Macaca fascicularis: one gene and its partners. The protein of the gene in region 2 purifies or fractionates together with the protein of the main gene of each other region. This does not show direct contact. Links are inferred from orthologs where the notes say so. Each region holds a gene or a part of one and is shown on either strand. Other genes may lie near its edges.

What was found.
Region 1: the proteins of SIN3B (region 2) and SAP130 purify together in Homo sapiens (affinity purification with mass spectrometry; 3 studies listed by BioGRID and IntAct, with this or other methods). This does not show direct contact. The link is inferred for Macaca fascicularis from reciprocal best matches to the Homo sapiens genes SIN3B and SAP130.
Region 3: the proteins of SIN3B (region 2) and GATAD1 purify together in Homo sapiens (affinity purification with mass spectrometry; 5 studies listed by BioGRID and IntAct, with this or other methods). This does not show direct contact. The link is inferred for Macaca fascicularis from reciprocal best matches to the Homo sapiens genes SIN3B and GATAD1.
Region 4: the proteins of SIN3B (region 2) and KDM5A purify together in Homo sapiens (affinity purification with mass spectrometry; 4 studies listed by BioGRID and IntAct, with this or other methods). This does not show direct contact. The link is inferred for Macaca fascicularis from reciprocal best matches to the Homo sapiens genes SIN3B and KDM5A.

Annotation. Positions count from the first base shown.
Region 1 is NC_088386.1:3,499,611-3,503,626, reverse strand, and holds the start of SAP130 (histone deacetylase complex subunit SAP130), read right to left. Parts: upstream 2,831-4,016; 5' UTR 2,688-2,830; coding exon 2,616-2,687; intron 1,823-2,615; coding exon 1,705-1,822; intron 1-1,704. UniProt on the Homo sapiens protein: Acts as a transcriptional repressor. May function in the assembly and/or enzymatic activity of the mSin3A corepressor complex or in mediating interactions between the complex and other regulatory complexes.
Region 2 is NC_088393.1:17,188,450-17,192,010, reverse strand, and holds part of SIN3B (paired amphipathic helix protein Sin3b), read right to left. Parts: intron 503-3,561; coding exon 295-502; intron 1-294.
Region 3 is NC_088377.1:128,909,961-128,914,159, reverse strand, and holds the start of GATAD1 (GATA zinc finger domain-containing protein 1), read left to right. Parts: upstream 1-1,376; 5' UTR 1,377-1,653; coding exon 1,654-1,908; intron 1,909-2,673; coding exon 2,674-2,799; intron 2,800-3,020; exon of another isoform or gene 3,021-4,199. UniProt on the Homo sapiens protein: Component of some chromatin complex recruited to chromatin sites methylated 'Lys-4' of histone H3 (H3K4me), with a preference for trimethylated form (H3K4me3).
Region 4 is NC_088385.1:1,144,402-1,148,718, forward strand, and holds the start of KDM5A (lysine-specific demethylase 5A), read right to left. Parts: upstream 2,813-4,317; 5' UTR 2,625-2,812; coding exon 2,460-2,624; intron 1-2,459. UniProt on the Homo sapiens protein: Histone demethylase that specifically demethylates 'Lys-4' of histone H3, thereby playing a central role in histone code. Does not demethylate histone H3 'Lys-9', H3 'Lys-27', H3 'Lys-36', H3 'Lys-79' or H4 'Lys-20'.

The DNA of each region.
Region 1 (4,016 bases), on a different chromosome or scaffold from region 2:
TAAAACCCAGGAGGCAGAGACCGAAGGGACCTGAGATAGAGCCAGTGCACTCTAACCTGGGCCAAAGAGTGACACTCTGTCTCAAAAAAATAAAATAAAACAAAATAAAGTAAAATAAAATAAAATAAGCTGGGGAGCTCAAAAGATCGAGGCTGCAGTGGGCTGTGATTAGGCCACTGTACTCCCGCTTGAATGACAGCATGAGATGCTGTTGCAAAAAAATAAGCCTCAGCTACTGGTTTAAGCAATGAGTAGACAGTGGTATCATTTACCATAAGGAACACCAGAATCGAGTGGTGAAGAAAAAGGAATAGAAAATAGTTTATTCATGGCCGGGCGCGGTGGCTCAAGCCTGTAATCCCAGCACTTTGGGAGGCCGAGGCGGGTGGATCACGAGGTCAGGAGATCGAGACTATCCTGGCTAACATGGTGAAACCCCGTCTCTACTAAAAATACAAAAAACTAGCCGGGCGTGGTGGCGGGCGCCTGTAGGCTCAGCTATTTGGGAGGCTGAGGCGGGAGAATGGCGTGAACCCGGGAGGCGGAGCTTGCAGTGAGCCGAGATCACGCCACTGCACTCCAGCCTGGGAGACACAGCGAGACTCCGTCTCAAAAAAAAAAAAAAAAAAAAAAAGAAAATAGTTTATTCCACTTTGCAATGTCACATATTTACTTAATACGTAGCGAAAAAGAGTATTTGAAGGAATTCCTCAACTTCAGCGCTGCTGACTAGACTGGATACTTCTCTGTTGTGGGGGCTTCCCGTTATCTTGTAGGATGTGAAGCAGTATCCCTGGCCTCTACCTACCAGATGCCAATAGCACTGTTGAGTTGTGACAACCAAACTGTCTTTAGATATTGCCAAGTATTCCCCTGCAGGAAAAACCACCTCCCCAAACACCTGTCACTGAGAACCACTGATTTCTAGCACTCAAAGGGCATGAGACGAAAAACCAAGTCTTATCTGTGTGTATGCAATCAGCCCTCTGTATCCATGGGTTCCCTGATGTGAATTCAAACAACTTTGGATGTTAAATATTCAGGGGGAAAAATAAAATATGGTTGCATCTGTACTAAGCACATACAGACTTTTTTGTCTTCTCACTGTTCTCTTAGCAATACGGAATAACAACTATTTACATACTATTTACTTTGTAGTAGGCATTACAAGTAATCTACAGCTGATTTAAAGTATACTGGAGGATAGATACAGGTAATATGTAAACACTATACCATTTTACATCACAAAGTGGAGCAACATGGATTTTGGTATCTGAGGTGGGTCCTGGAACCAATCCCCCACAGACACCATAGGGAAACTGCATATCCTTTGTTTTCCACTTATTTTCCTTGATAATAAACTCCTAAAAGGCAAGATCTGTTCCTTAAACAACTCTGGGCTCCCTCACAGCACTAATGCTATACTCATGGACATTAATTAAACATGAATATATTAATGCATTTCAAAAATAGTTCTTACAGGCATGCTTCGCTGTAAGTTGCATGTGTACTCTATGTGAACGACGTGGTTAAAACAGGAAGAAAAAAAGCCTTGTTTAAATTAGAATAGTAATATACCCTTTCTTCAAATTCAAGAAATAAGAATTTACTAAAATCCTAGAAGGAATCTGCTAATTTTTAAGTTAGAAAACTGGCAATATTCGTAAAGTTGGAAGAAATATATTAGAATATTACATATCTCACCTGTAGCAGCTGGGTTTATCAATCCAGCAGTACCACTGTTTGCAATCTGAGAAGGGGCCTGGCTCAGCCCAGTAGAAGGGGCTCCTAATCGAGGAAACTGTTGAGAACTCATTTCCACCTGCAGTACATACAGTTATATGGTTATTACTAGATTCTGAGATCTGAATCAATATTGAGAAATTAAAGCATCTTTAGTACCTATGAGATAGTCCCTCGGAAAAGCAAATGTTGCATCATCTATTTAAAAACAATAACGTAGGATCAATATAAATGCAGACATTATCTAAACTACCTAAGTTTTCTACCAATATCGTTTATACGGAGCTGGCGTGTACTATAACCCTCCATAAATACTTGTGGATTGCCATGCTAAAAAAATCACCATTGAATCCTGTACAAGAGTCACATGACAGGTATTACCACAATGCATGTGTATTTCTCTGTGTAAAGTTTTATGGAAAATGGCATGTCTCTTCGAAACACTCAAACCTCACACCAAGGTGAACAGAACTGTGATTAGCATGTCATAGGAACATTCGGAGGAAGATACCCAGCCCTAAGAAAGGATCGGATGTTTTACATTCAGACCTGATGCAAAAGGAATTCTCCAACGCTTTTCTGCAAAGGCTTCCATTTACGGATTTCCTTTTCTTTCCCTTTCATAGACCCCCACAGAGCAAGAGGACCCTACACCTTCTCCATCTTCCCTAAAATCGTCCCCCACTTTTCCCCCAGGAGCCAAGCGATCTCCCCTGATTCGCCCGCAACCCCACCCCACCGCGAAGCCCCCGCTGAGATGGGAGGACGCCGATTTCCAGACACCTCGGAGTGCGAGATCCCCGTCTCCGGGGTAGGGGTGCGGACGGGCGTTCTGGGGACCCGACCACAAGGCGAGCACTGTGCCTCTTTACCTGTAGCCGCCGCCCGCCGCCCGCACCGCCCGCTTCTAGCTCGCCGGCCTGGGGGTGCCGCGGAGGGCCCATCTCGGCGGCGGCGATGCGCTCGGGGGGCGCGGGGAGGGATCGCGGCGGCGGCGCCCGGGGCCCGCCGCTGTCCAGCCCCGCTGGCCCCACTCACCCCCAACACCCGGCCGCCGCTGTGCTCGCAGTCCTCTTCCCCCGAACCTGCCCCTGCCTCCCCCGCCCGCCCATTGGCCCCACGCCCGGCGCGTCAGTGGAGGCCCAGGACCAATCCACAGCGACCTACACGGTCAGGACCCGCCCCACCCTCCCGCCGACCGCCAGCCAATCAGGCGCGAGCCTGGCCGGGGCAGCCCAAACCCCTCGAGGCTGAACCAATGGCAGAGGAAGACAGGCGCCCCCGGCGAGGGGGGCGGGGAGCGGGGAGGCCCCGCCTTGGCCAGGGTCTGAAAGCGGCGGGCGCAGGGCCCGGATGTGGAGAGTCACTTTAAACTGCTCCAGGAGCCAAACTCCCTGGGCCGCCCGCCCGCCCGCGCTCCCCCGACCGCTCTGCTTCCCCGCCAAGGCCCACGTCCGCCACGCCCCCACGCCCGGGTCAGCCCACCCCTCCCGGTGCCTCTCCCTTCCTCGCCACAGGACACCCAGCCCCTGTCGCCGGCCCAACTGCCGTGCCCAGCTCGCCAAAGAGCCGCGGTCCGAGCTGCAGGAGACGAGGATCCTCTGCCCTTCCCCGGGGACGCGCAACGGGACGGACGCTGCAGCCCGGCTCGGCCGCCCCGCCCCCTCGTCTCCTCCCCTTCCCTCCCGGGCTCCCGTCCCGCCATTACCTGGGTGCTGCGCCGAGTGGCCGCCGCGCCGCCTTGAGCTCGCTCCCGCGCGCTCTCTGTCTGCGGGGCCGACGTCCCCAGGTTCCCGACCCGCAGCCACCGCCGGGGAGCTAGCACTCTGCCCCCCACCCCTCACTCCAGCGCCGCTGCTTCCGCCGCCGTAACGAGCCTCCCGTCTATTGGCTGGCGCAGGCCCCGCCCCCTGCCGAGTCAGCCAGTCGCCGGTGGTCGTGAGCGGGAGAGCGGACGGGCCCGCCCCTCGGAGCCGCGGCGTCCTCTGGGAAATGTAGTCGCGGGCGCCAAGAGGGCGGGCCGCGAAGGAGGTGGAGAGCGCCGGGGCGGGGCCGCAGGCGACCCGGCCAGGGCAACACACCCCTTTGCTGTCTGAAGTCGGTTCTGTCTTTTCTCTTGGCTAAGTGAGAAGACAGTGGATCCCACCCTGTGTCTCAACCTGAGGGCACTAGGTTTCATTTTCCCCGCGGGGAGGCGCGGCGCGGGAAAGGGTAATGGAGGCCAACTGCGGCGGCCAAGGGATCCGCGGGCCGGACCAGTGTCGTGACGGTGC
Region 2 (3,561 bases):
CCCGGGACGGAGCAGAATCATGGCAGCAATAAACCTAACTCAAATAACAGATGAATAAGTGAACTCCACATTATCCCTGACACTCTGTGTTTTGCCAAAACTACCAGCAGGGTACAACACTGTTGTCTCTGCTCAGGTGGTTTTGCTGGGCCACATCCCAGCACCACCCATAACCCAACATTCAGGAGGGCTGAGCACACAGCATTTCATTCAAAACGGGGGTATTGGGTGTTTGCTGGGGAGGGGGGGGGGATGCACCATGTCAGCGAACATGTAAGCCCCAGGGAGCGCTACCTCCTTGCAGATGGCCGTCCTCCCGCTGCACTTGGGCTGCTGGTAGGTTTTGGGGAGTGCCCGGTAGCTGGATCCTATGCGCTTACAAGATGCATAGTCGATTTCCCGGCTTATCCCGTCCCCGGATCTGTCGCTCATGGGTGGCGCGAAGGACAGCTCTTTTACCCCTAGGAAGGACTTGAACTGTGCAAACAGCTCTGGAAATTTCCTTCAAAGATAAAGAAAAATGGTAACTGGTCATCCCTTGGGCCTTCTGAGAGGGATCTGGAGATTTTAGAATGGCTTCATGTGGACATTACAGCTTAAACAGAGTCAGAATTCAACATCATGGACGCAAATGAGAGGCGGAAGAATCCAATACACAGGAAGTCACTGCAAGTCCTGAGGTGTGTGAATGAATGGGCCTCCCACCCCTCTGTCACACACCAGGTCCCTTCCTGTGCCTATTGACCCCATACTCACAGGGAGGCTTTGAAATACACCAGAAAAGATGACTTGAACTGGCAGAAGCTGGAGCCCATGACGTTCCCTGACTGGAAGAGGCCAGGGAGCGGCAAGCCACAGCCAGTCTGCCCACTGCCTGTGTTTTGTTTTGTTTGGTTTTTTTTTTTTTTTTTTTAGAGACAGTGTCTCACTCTGTTGCCCAGGCTCAAGGGCAGTGGCATGATCTCAGCTCACTGCAACCTCAAACTCCTGGGCTCAAGAGATCCTCCCACCTCAGCCTCCTCAATAGCTGGGACCACAGGCATGTGCCACTACGCCCAGCTAATTTCTTTTGTTTTTTTTTTGAGACAGAGTTTCACTCGTCGCCCAGGCAGGGGTGCAATGGCACAATCTCGGCTCACTGAAACCTCCACCTCCTGGGTTCAAGCTATTCTCCTGTCAGCCTTCCGAGTATCTGGGATTACAGGCACGCACCACCTGTAAATTTTGTATTTTTAGTAGAGATGGGGTTTCACCATGTTGGTCAGGCTGGTCTCAAACTCCTGACCTCCAGAGATTCGCCCGCCTTGGCCTCCCAAAGTGCTAGGATTATAGGTGTGAGCCACCATGCCCGGCCAATTTTAAAAATTTTTGTAGAGATGGGGTCTTGCTATGTTGTCCAAGCTGGTCTTGAACTCCTGGCCTCAAGCGATCCCTTTCACCTCAACCTCCCAAAGTGCTGGGGTGACAGGAGTGAGCCACCATGCCCAGCCATCCCATCGTAAATAAAGTTTCACTGGCCCACAGTCACGTCCACTTGTGTACGCACTGCCTGTGGCCTGCACAAGAGAGGTATGAATCATCTCCACATAGCCCGTCTGGCCCCTCAGAGATCAAGTTTGCCTATCTCTGACCTACAGTCTTCCCCTCTCATGAGGGAGACTCCTCTCTGTGAACCCCTCTCTGGACACATGCTTGAAAGTCATCAGGTCATGGCTGTGGTTGACGATAGGAAGGCTTTAATGCAAACGACTCTACAATGCCAACTGGATTTCTGTTTAAAATCAGATCTGGTGGTGTGTGCCCGGAATCCCAGCTACTCAGGAGGCCAAGATGGGAAGATCGCTTCAGCTCAAGAGTTTGAGACCAGCCTGGGCAACACAGCGGGATCCCGTCTCTAAGCAGTAACATCAGATCCTACAAAAAAAAAAAGGTGCAGTTACTTTGCTGGTGCCACAATCCTGCAGTCACCCAGCCACCCAGCCCACCCTCCCATAATGATGTCCCCCTCATTGATGTGGCCTCCGTCGTGCCACGTATTTAAGAACCCTATGCCAACTGCGCTCACAAGGAAAACCCACAAGCCAATGGAAACGTAGGGAGGAAAGATACCGACGAAAATGCTGCAGAGATGCCTGAGGCTACTGCTGGGATAAACACAAATCAGGATCGCTAGAAGGGAATGCTGAACCCAGTTCGCCCGGCTGCCATGTGGCTGCCAGCTGCGAGGGGCAGTTCCCTGGGCCGTGTTCAGCCGCCCAGCCCAGCTGAGCACCTGACTGCAGGTTGAACACGCAGAGGAAAGCCACGTGGTGGTGAATGTTCCTAACCCAACCAAGCATTGTGTCAAGAACACGCAGAGGTCCGCTTTCATCCCAGACCTTGCTCCATACAGACCCTTCCCCTAACGCCCGTCCCTGTGTGAGTCTCTGCTGCCGAAACATGGAAACAAGAACAGCTGACTGTCCCGGCACTGACCATCTGCTCAGCATCTTGCCTTTCAGACTCTCGCCTTTCATATTCCTTTTGTCTTCCCCTCTAACCTCCTGACAAACCCAGGAGGGAGGTATGGCCATTTTACAAAGACACTGAGGCTCGCTTGGCTAGTAGGAAGCTGAGTCCCAATTCCAACCCAGGGTGGTCATGGGCCCGCTGGGCGCAGGTGCCAACACCAGCTCCACACACAGCCCCTGGGGGCCCCCTGTCCCAGGTGGGACCCAGGCTCAGAGAGTGCTGGATTCTGAGCCCAGTGGAGGCGACTCAAGGTGAATGTGCATTCCACGTCCATAGAAAAGGCCCACCCGTGTGCCCACCACCCACGTCACAAACAGACCCCAGGAGCCCCCGTTTTGCCTGAGACTAGAGTAGCACCATCCTGCTCCGGGCTGTTCTTCAGGGCGATTACAGACCTTCAGCGGCCCAAGAAAGAAAACCCACTGAAAAGATCACCCCAACACGTGCATGCCCGGGACCACCAGGGAAAGGCCTTCTGATGAGCTCAGCTTGACCCGCGAGGGTCGTAACCTCAGGAGCATTTGATGTCAACACCACTGACAGGGAGGACTAGAGACAAACGCCCATCGTTTGAGACCCTGGTAAGGGACAGTTGCTTAAAAATGAGGACATGGGTTCACATCTGATGCTGAAACACTTCCAAGAAATGCTGAGTTAAAAAAAAAAACAAAAGACATCGAAGCCCAGCCTGACAGCACGCGCCTGCTTACGCTACGCCCAGCAGCCACTGTGCCCAGAAGGCAGAGAACATGCAAAGGGCTGGCTTTGGGGCTGGAGCACCCCGGCTGCTACCTAACAGCACGCTCAGCTCACCTATGAGTGCTTGTCCTAGGGTAAGTCAGAGGCATTTGATCTGAGTCTCAGTTTCCTTATTTATTTATTTTTTTGAGACAGGGTCTCACACTGTCACCCAGGCTGAGTGCAGTGGTGAGATGAGGGCTCTGCCGAAACTCGAGTGATCCAGCCACCTCAGCCTCCCAAGAGGCTACAGGTACACGCCACCACTTCTGGCTAGTTTCTGACGAGGTCTCACTATGTTGCCCAGGCTGG
Region 3 (4,199 bases), on a different chromosome or scaffold from region 2:
GATGACTGAGCCACAACCCACACCCCAGAGGGCTGCTCCAAAGTCCTCCTCGAAATTGGTGCCAACGGCAGCAGCTATAATGACAGCCAGTTCACACAGAAGTGCCTCTGTTGATCACCAATTAACAGTAAAATCTGATAATATCTCATTCCAAGGTTGTCATAAGCACTAAATGTGGTTTTGTGACATAATAGGCATTTGTTTCTCCCCATTGCTTCCCACCACAATATATTCATCAAGACTTTTCCAAGGATACTAAGTCTAGGAAACCCAGGATCATGAAGAGAGGACATGCTCTTCCAAATGAGGCTGAGGAGAGACTTGTCTGGCGAGGCCTGTACTGACTAGTGACATTAGAAGAGGCGATCTGACTTCTCATACTGCGCTTGTCCCAGGCCCGCTGTTTGTCAACTGCTGGGTCCTCAGAGCCAAAACTGTTTTCCAACAGTTTTGAATTGAATAACAGCCAGTTATTCAATTTTCTCCACATTCTCTAATCGGTATACTCTTCAGAGTCCAAGGGACTTGCAACGATATTACCCAATGGCTGAAGAATGTGCGCTTGACATCTTAGGCTGTAAAATGTCTCAATTTCAATTTCTAAAACATAAATGTCAGTGGATGGCATTTTCTGAATCCCTTGTCGATGTCCGTAAATGGCATGCTCTGAATTCAACTAAACAAAAGTATGGGTTGGGGGGAGATGTAGGGGCATGTCCAAATTATAATTTTTAAGAGTGTAAAGGGGTCCTGAGAAAGATTGCCAGATTTTTTTTTTTTTCTTGAGTCAGAGTCTCACTCTATCCCCCAGGCTGAAGTGCAATGGCATGATCTTGGCTCACTGCAGGCTCTACCTCCCGCACTCAAGAGATTCTTCTGCCGCAGCCTCCAGAGTAGCTGGGATTACCCCGGAGCCCGCCACTACTGAGCCTGGCTAACTTTTGTATTTTTAGTAGAGAAGGGGTTTCACCATGTTGGCCAGGCTGATTTCGAACTCCTGAGCTCAAGTAATCCGCCAGCCTTGGTCTCCCAAAGTGCTGGGATTGCAAGCGTGAGCCACCACGCCAGACCTGGATTGCCAGATTTAGCACATAAAAATACAGGACTCCCAGTTAAACTCCTCTCAGATAAACCATTATTGCATGAAATTCACTCACGCTAAAAACAATTGTTCGTCGTTTACCTGAAAGTCACATTTCATTGGTCCTGCATTTTACCCCGCAAATTCTAGGCCTGACACCAAAAAGTTTGAGAACCGCGCCCCTAGGCGACAGCAAGCGGAACTACCGCAAGCTCCCAGTAATTCCGGGTGCTGCACTTCCGGTCAGGCGGTCGGGCTGCGCGGCCCTGGGGCCAGCTCACCGCCGGAAGCCTCCGCGTCCCCGCCGGCCATATCCCGTTCCCGGTCCTGCTTCCCAGTGCCTCGGGCCTCCCGGGGCTGGTGCTGGGCGCCGAGCCGGCGGAACCGGCGGAACCCGCTTCCCGCCTCCACGCGGCAGCGCTAGCGGCCTAGTCCCTTCACGGGCAGCTCGGTGCTGTCGCCCTCACTGCTCTTCCTATCGCCGGGAGTGGTGGGCCGACCAGGGGGCGGCCGGGCTAGCGTCCGCCATTCCCGTGTCTCTGCGCCCGCGGGGGCCGCCCGAGCCGGCCACCATGCCGCTGGGCCTGAAGCCCACCTGCAGCGTATGCAAGACCACGTCGTCCTCCATGTGGAAGAAGGGCACGCAGGGGGAGATCCTCTGCCATCATTGCACTGGCCGGGGCGGCGCGGGCAGCGGGGGCGCAGGCTCGGGGGCGGCTGGAGGGACTGGGGGCAGCAGCGGCGGTGGCGGCGGCTTCGGCGCGGCGACCTTCGCCAGCACCTCCGCCACTCCTCCGCAGAGCAACGGGGGCGGGGGCGGCAAGCAGGTGAGCTCCTCCGGCCCCTCCCGCCGGCGGAGGCCGACCGGGCGCTAGGCGGCAGGGGCCGGGCGGGTTGGGAGCGGGCGGGCCCGGGCTTCCCGGCTCGCCGTGGTCCTGCCGGCTGGAACGCCCCTCCCCACCTCCTACTGAGATCTTTGGTTTGACCCATTCCAAAGCACCTGTTATAAGAAATTCAAAGCAATAAGAACCAAAATGTAAAGCCCTTAAGAAAATCTCAATATGCACACGTCTACACAGTCGTAAACAGGGTCATGCCACAAGTGCAGGTGCTGGACCTCATTGCTTGTTAAAGGTTTTGTCATATCAGGTTATGAAGTAAGATTATTATGTCATTATTGTAAATGGCAGCTTAAGTATTCAGTTGTAGGAGGCGCCATAACCTAATACGTTATCTGGCCTTAGGGAGTAAAGTTGTTAAGTGTTTTTCTCTATTGTAGACACAACAAATGAATAGTGTTTGTCTTGGCCCAGACTGACTCTTACTTCCGCCTCCTGACTTATTACAAGCAGCTCACACCTTTTGGAGGCTCTGGAGACGCCTATCCAGCGAGCTCCGAGATTCCGGTGCTGAACTTCCGGTTTTACTTAGCCCAGTTGCTGAAATTACCTCTGTTGAAAAGCAAAGGCGCACTCTTAATTGTTAAATACTCCTATAAAGTACATACTCTGGGATCCTTGTAAGATGATTGTATTGCAACCTGTATACACTTTTTACTTCTTTCTCTGTTCTTTAATTTGTTTGTGTAACAGAGTAAGCAGGAAATTCACAGGAGGTCTGCTCGGCTCAGAAACACTAAATACAAATCTGCTCCGGCTGCTGAGAAGAAAGTTTCCACCAAAGGAAAAGGGAGAAGACATATATTTAAATTGAAAAATGTAAGATATTTGTGGACAGTGCCTTTTACTGTAATGATGTTGTGTGTATCCTGCCACTGCCTTCATTTCCCGCCATTGAACTTGGACTCTGCCCTTGGTAGCCCTTCCTTAGTATTCTGGGGAGTGGTCCAGACTCCCCAAAAGGGAATGAGCTCTGTTGCAGGAGGCTCACTATTTTTAAAGGTAATAATACTCTTTCCTTTTTTTTTTTTTTTTTTTAGCTTTTATTTTTTTCCCCTGGAAAATATAAAATATGAGTTTAAAAGAAACATCAGCCTTGAGCCCATTTTTTGGGGTTCTCTATGGAAAGGAAGAGGAGAGATTATGGTTCTTGATATGGCCAGGTACACTAAGAAAACTTTTTTTTCATTCTTTAAAAATTAAGTAAATATTAACACTAGAACTCATCATTTGCATATTTATTTATTATTAAAGCCCCAGAAAATGTATCTTATTGACTTATGATGATGATGTATTTGATGAATATGAGTCAAAAATTCTGCTAAGCCTTCTCTCTTCTACTCTAAGAAAAGACATTGTTGAAAGACCTGTGCTGGAAATAATTGAAAGCATATTTTTATTGCAATTAAATTATCAGTTTTTATAAACAAGGGATAATGTTCAAACACAATGGACAGTGCATTATGGACTATTTTTTTAAGTCTCAGTATGGTATTCTTTTCTTTCAGAACAGGAATGTTTCACTTACCCGTAAAGACATTTTTGAAGTCGGGCATATTTATTTCTAAAACACAAAGGGACCCTGCAGTAGACTTATGCAGATGGCAGACTATTTTCTTTTTTTTTTTTTAATGTAATTTAATTTAATTAATTTTTTAAAATTTTACTTTAAATTCTGGGATACATGTGCAGAACGTGCAGGTTTGTTACATAGGTATACATGTGCCATGGTGATTTGCTGCACCTGTCAACCCATCATCTAGGTTTTAAGGCCCATGTGCATTAGATATTTGTCCTAATGCTCTCCCTCCCCTTGCCCCCCATCTCCGATGGGCCCCAGTGTGTGATGTTCCCTTCCCCAAAGTATTTTCTTTTTCAGAGTAGTTGCTTCTAATTTATTTAAGATTTTTATAATTTAGTTAAGCAAGGCATTTGTTGATTATGCAAAATATCTTATTGGTATTTGTATCACATATGCACATTTTTTTTCCTTTTAAGTATAGTATACCATGTTCTCAGCAATTAATTCATTATCGTTTGTCTGCAACCCTTTCTTCAATGTTACTAAGCAAGACACATCTGGGGAGGCCTACTTTCTATGTTGTGGCATAAAAGTATGTATTGAAGCTTTAGTAGGGATTTCAAAAATGGTTGGATGGTAGCAAATTACTAAGAACTGTCAAAGTTTCTAAAGCCTTAGTTCCAGCTTGCTAGAAAAC
Region 4 (4,317 bases), on a different chromosome or scaffold from region 2:
GTTTATCTCCCACAATTATGCTTTCCCAAGTTACTCAAGTGGAATTCAATGAGGTCATGTACCACAAAACGGTGTCTAGTAAACATTCAGGTTTACCAAGATCAAAAAAAACACCAAAAAATTTAAAAAACCAAAAAGGGTAAAATTAAAGATTAAAAATAAACTTTTTAAACTTTTTCTTTTGTACTGTATGTGTAACGCGACAGAGCACTTTATGTTACACAAAAGTTTTGTTCAAAGCCCAGCTTCTGGGAACCCAAATATTCAACAACAAAAAAAGTAAGCACACACACAGAACAAGGACAGTTTCCAGACTGTGATATAACTAAAATCAGATAGCATATTTCAAGTGGGGTCTAAATAACACAGTTTGATTTGGCCTAAATAACAGAATAACAGTAAACCTATTTTAAAACGTGAGTAGTCAAAAAAAAAAAAAAAACCCAGGAGGTGGAGGCAGAAGTGAGCCAAGATCGTGCCACTGCACTCCAGCCTGGAAACTAAAGAAATTTGCCAATACTAAAATTAAATTCTGATTGTAAACAAGATTTATTTTCAATAATGTGACATAAAAAGAGAAAGCATTGGCCGGGCGCGGTGGCTCACGCCTGTAATCCCAGCACTTTGGGAGGCCGAGGCGGGCGGATCACAAGGTCAGGAGATCGAGACCACGGTGAAACCCCGTCTCTACTAAAAATACAAAAAATTAGCCGGGCGCGGTTGTGGGCGCCTGTAGTCCCAGCTACTCGGGAGGCTGAGGCAGGAGAATGGCGTGAACCCGGGAGGCGGAGCTTGCAGTGAGCCGAGATCGCGCCACTGCACTCCAGCCTGGGCGACAGAGCGAGACTCCGTCTCAAAAAAAAAAAAAAAAAAAAAAAGAGAAAGCATTATTTCAACATTTTTTAAGTTAAAAAAAACTTTTTTTTTAATCGAAGTAACCGTGAATAGAATTTCTAATTAATAAATTCAAGAGTAGATGAAAATACGACTTAGGAAAACCTTCAATGCTTAAGATTTGTTAATATTAGGTAATTATGATAGAAAAAAAGGGTTAAATGGAAGTTTTTGGAGGATGGCAATGCATATCATCACAGCAATTATTTGTTAATCCTCTGCTTGCAACGAATAGTCTATAACCTTAAACTCATTCTACATGGAGCATTATGTCTGTTTCAGAATCAGAAAAACCGATCTAGGTTCAAAATATACTTTGCCACTTGCCCAAGATAACCCATCTGGTGTTTTAACTTATCCAGATTAATCTTATCTGTAAAAGGTGGACTTCATTTACCTATCAGGGCTTCAAAGATTAAAGCAAACAATCTATAGGTGTTAAATTAGCTCCTCCTCGCTGTCATTTAAGTTTTTAATTCGCTGCGGTGCCTATCACTGTGGTAGTCAGTGGTGACGGCAGATGCTTTTTAAAATGCAACACTGGTTAACAGTGCTTAATATTTTATCATTACCAATACTAGACAAAACATAAAGCAAAATGCCTTTAAGAAGCAATGACTAAAGCAATGGTTCGAAAACCTCAACTTACATGAAGAATCATCTGAGACTAGTTGCTAGAAAAGCAGATTCCAGAACTTCCACAAGAAGCCTAGAGATCTGCATTTAAATAAGCATCCAGTTGACCCAGGTGCAAGTGGTCCCGCAACAGCATTTAAAAAGCACTGATCTAATGAGTAAAGAAAAACACCTTTTGACCTTGAGCATCTCACTCAATCTCTTGGGGCATTAATCCCCTCCACACAAGGGATAGTACCTACTTTCCTTACCTCAATGTTGAGATTATAATTAACCTTATAGGCAAACCTAGTTATCTGCAATAACTGTGATTCTAAAATCGTTGATCTTGAGTTCCCTATGTCAAGAGATTTCAACATTTCCTCCCGCCTCCATTATAGATGAATTCTTCCTAAACCTCTCAATTTTAGAATTATTGCTGCTCCTCTTTCCCCGGTAAGACTTTCTCACTGCAGCAATGATTAGTCTGGAGTTCTATGTCTATAATACCATCTGGTGGAACTAGAGCTCAGATTACCTTTTCAGAAACCCTAGCCCTGAGAGGAGGCCTGCAAATATTTGATCCAATCAGGTCTTGAATAGAGATAGCCGACTATCAAACCATAATGAGGATACGTGAGGGAAGAATGTACTTTAATTAAACCTCATATTGGCTAACGAAGGGCTTTAGGCCCACAGCGGAGAGAAAAGTATCAGTTCCCAAGTTCTAGGCGGAAGACCCCAGAGACACCACTTTCTCGCATTCAGACGTGTCTACATAAGACCACAAAAGAAACCGAAGCAGAAACATCCAGAAACAGGCTCCGGTTGTCTCAACATAAAGGAGAGTACATACGAAAGGAGAGAAGGATCGGAAAAGTAAGGCTAAACCCAGTGCACGGACTCCCCCCTTCTTCCTTCTCCCCCTCTCTCTCCACAGACTGAGGTACCTTGGGCGGCCGAATTTTGCAGATGCCGGTTTTCTCCGCCAAAGGCCGGATGCGGCCGATAAAGCTGAGCGGATCTGTGAACTCCTCCCAGCTCGGCTCAAAGACGGGGCACTCCGGGGGCGGCACGAACTCGGCCGCGTAGCCCCCCGGCCCCACGCCCGCCATTGCAGCGGCCGGGGGGGGGGTCCCCGTGGGGAACCGGTGGAGAAAAGCTGGCTGAAGCCCACTGAGCCCGTTCACGTCCCCTGACTGGGGCCGAAGCGCATCTTCGCGGAAAAGAACCGCTCAACACAGACACCCCAGAACCGCTTCCTCCTCCCGTTTGTTATTGTTTCTTGCAAGGCTTTTCCTCTGAGGGTCAGGACTTCTCCGGAAGTTACTGTGCTGTCAAATCCCTCCGCCCCCGCAGGAAACGGAATCCTTCCGCAGCGGCGCGACGCCCGGGTATCTGGCCCTTCCTCCTTCTTCTCTTGCCCGGCAGCCCGGTGTGGCTGTTTCTCTCCTTGCCTGCCAAAGTTCTGCCCAGTCCAACGACTCCACGCGGCTCGCCCTGGGTAGGGGGTCGGGGAGAGGCGCAATCTCTCCTTCACTAGAGGTGGGGACAGAGCCAGGCCGACGGGGCGAGGCGAGGCGCGACGTGTTCTTCCGGCGCGGAGGAATGTGTAATGCCCCAGAGGGCAGAGGTTGTGCTTCCGGTGAGGAGGGTCCCTTTCCCTTTTGTGTGTCGGTGTAGTCGAAATCACGCAGGGCTTAGCGTTAGCCCCCCAGCCTCGCCGCCCGTGCTTCGTGATTTGTTTTAACCTACCCTGCTGCGTTTCTAGCAAGTAGCCGTTCCAGCATTTCTCTTTTTTTTAGCCCTTTGAATGCAGGTATTTTACAGTAATCTCACTCTGCCACTTTATAGCCGCCTCTTCTCCAGGAAAACAAGTGCAGGTCTAACCCATCCCCTAAATCCTGCCAGCTGGCTTTAGCCACCATCCAGGAATTGCTTTTCCTTTTACACAGAACACAGCAGCTCTTCTGAATTACCAGCCAGTACTGTCTAGCTACCTACAGGACATCTCACTCTGATAACTCAAAGTACTTTAATTGGTCACTATTTCTTCAGTGTTCCTGGTTTCATTAATACCTTCATCTATTCAGTTGCCTGAGGCAAAAAAAAAAACAATCAAGAAATAGTCCTCATGCTTTCTGCTCTCACTTCCCATGTATAATCGTGTGTCTCTCCATCCTTGTTACCAGTATCCTAATTTAAATACTCTTACTGACAACAGCTCATTTCTTTTCTCCTCTGAAATTCCTCTCCATTCTCAAGTTGGATTGCTTTGTCTAAAATCCAGAATTCATCTTGTCACTTTTCATCTCCAAACTCAACAACTCCAAACATCTTTTTTAATTGCTGATTTGCTGCTTTACTCTCCAGCTTCATCTCTACTGCTTCTCCATATGATCTACAGAAGTCTTTGTTGTGACTTTAGTACACCATGATTTTTCTCACCTCTGAGCCATCACACATATTTCCTCTGTCCAGAACATTTTTGTACTCTGCTGACCCAAAATCATTTGTATCATTATATCCCCTTCCTAAATTTCTACTCATCCTTCATTTAAATAAATATGAAGGATTAGGCTGAGCAAATCTGTGAACTGTGAACTCCTCCTTCATATTTATTTAAATAATATTTATTTAAATAATAATAAATAATATTTATTTAAATAAATATGAAGGATTAAATATCACTTCTAGATAGCCTTTCCTAATCCCAAAAATTGGTGTGGTCAGCAGCAACTTGTACTTCCTTGTCAAACTTTTTGAAATTGCATATTTAATTGCCTTTTTCCCTCAAACCGTAAGTTA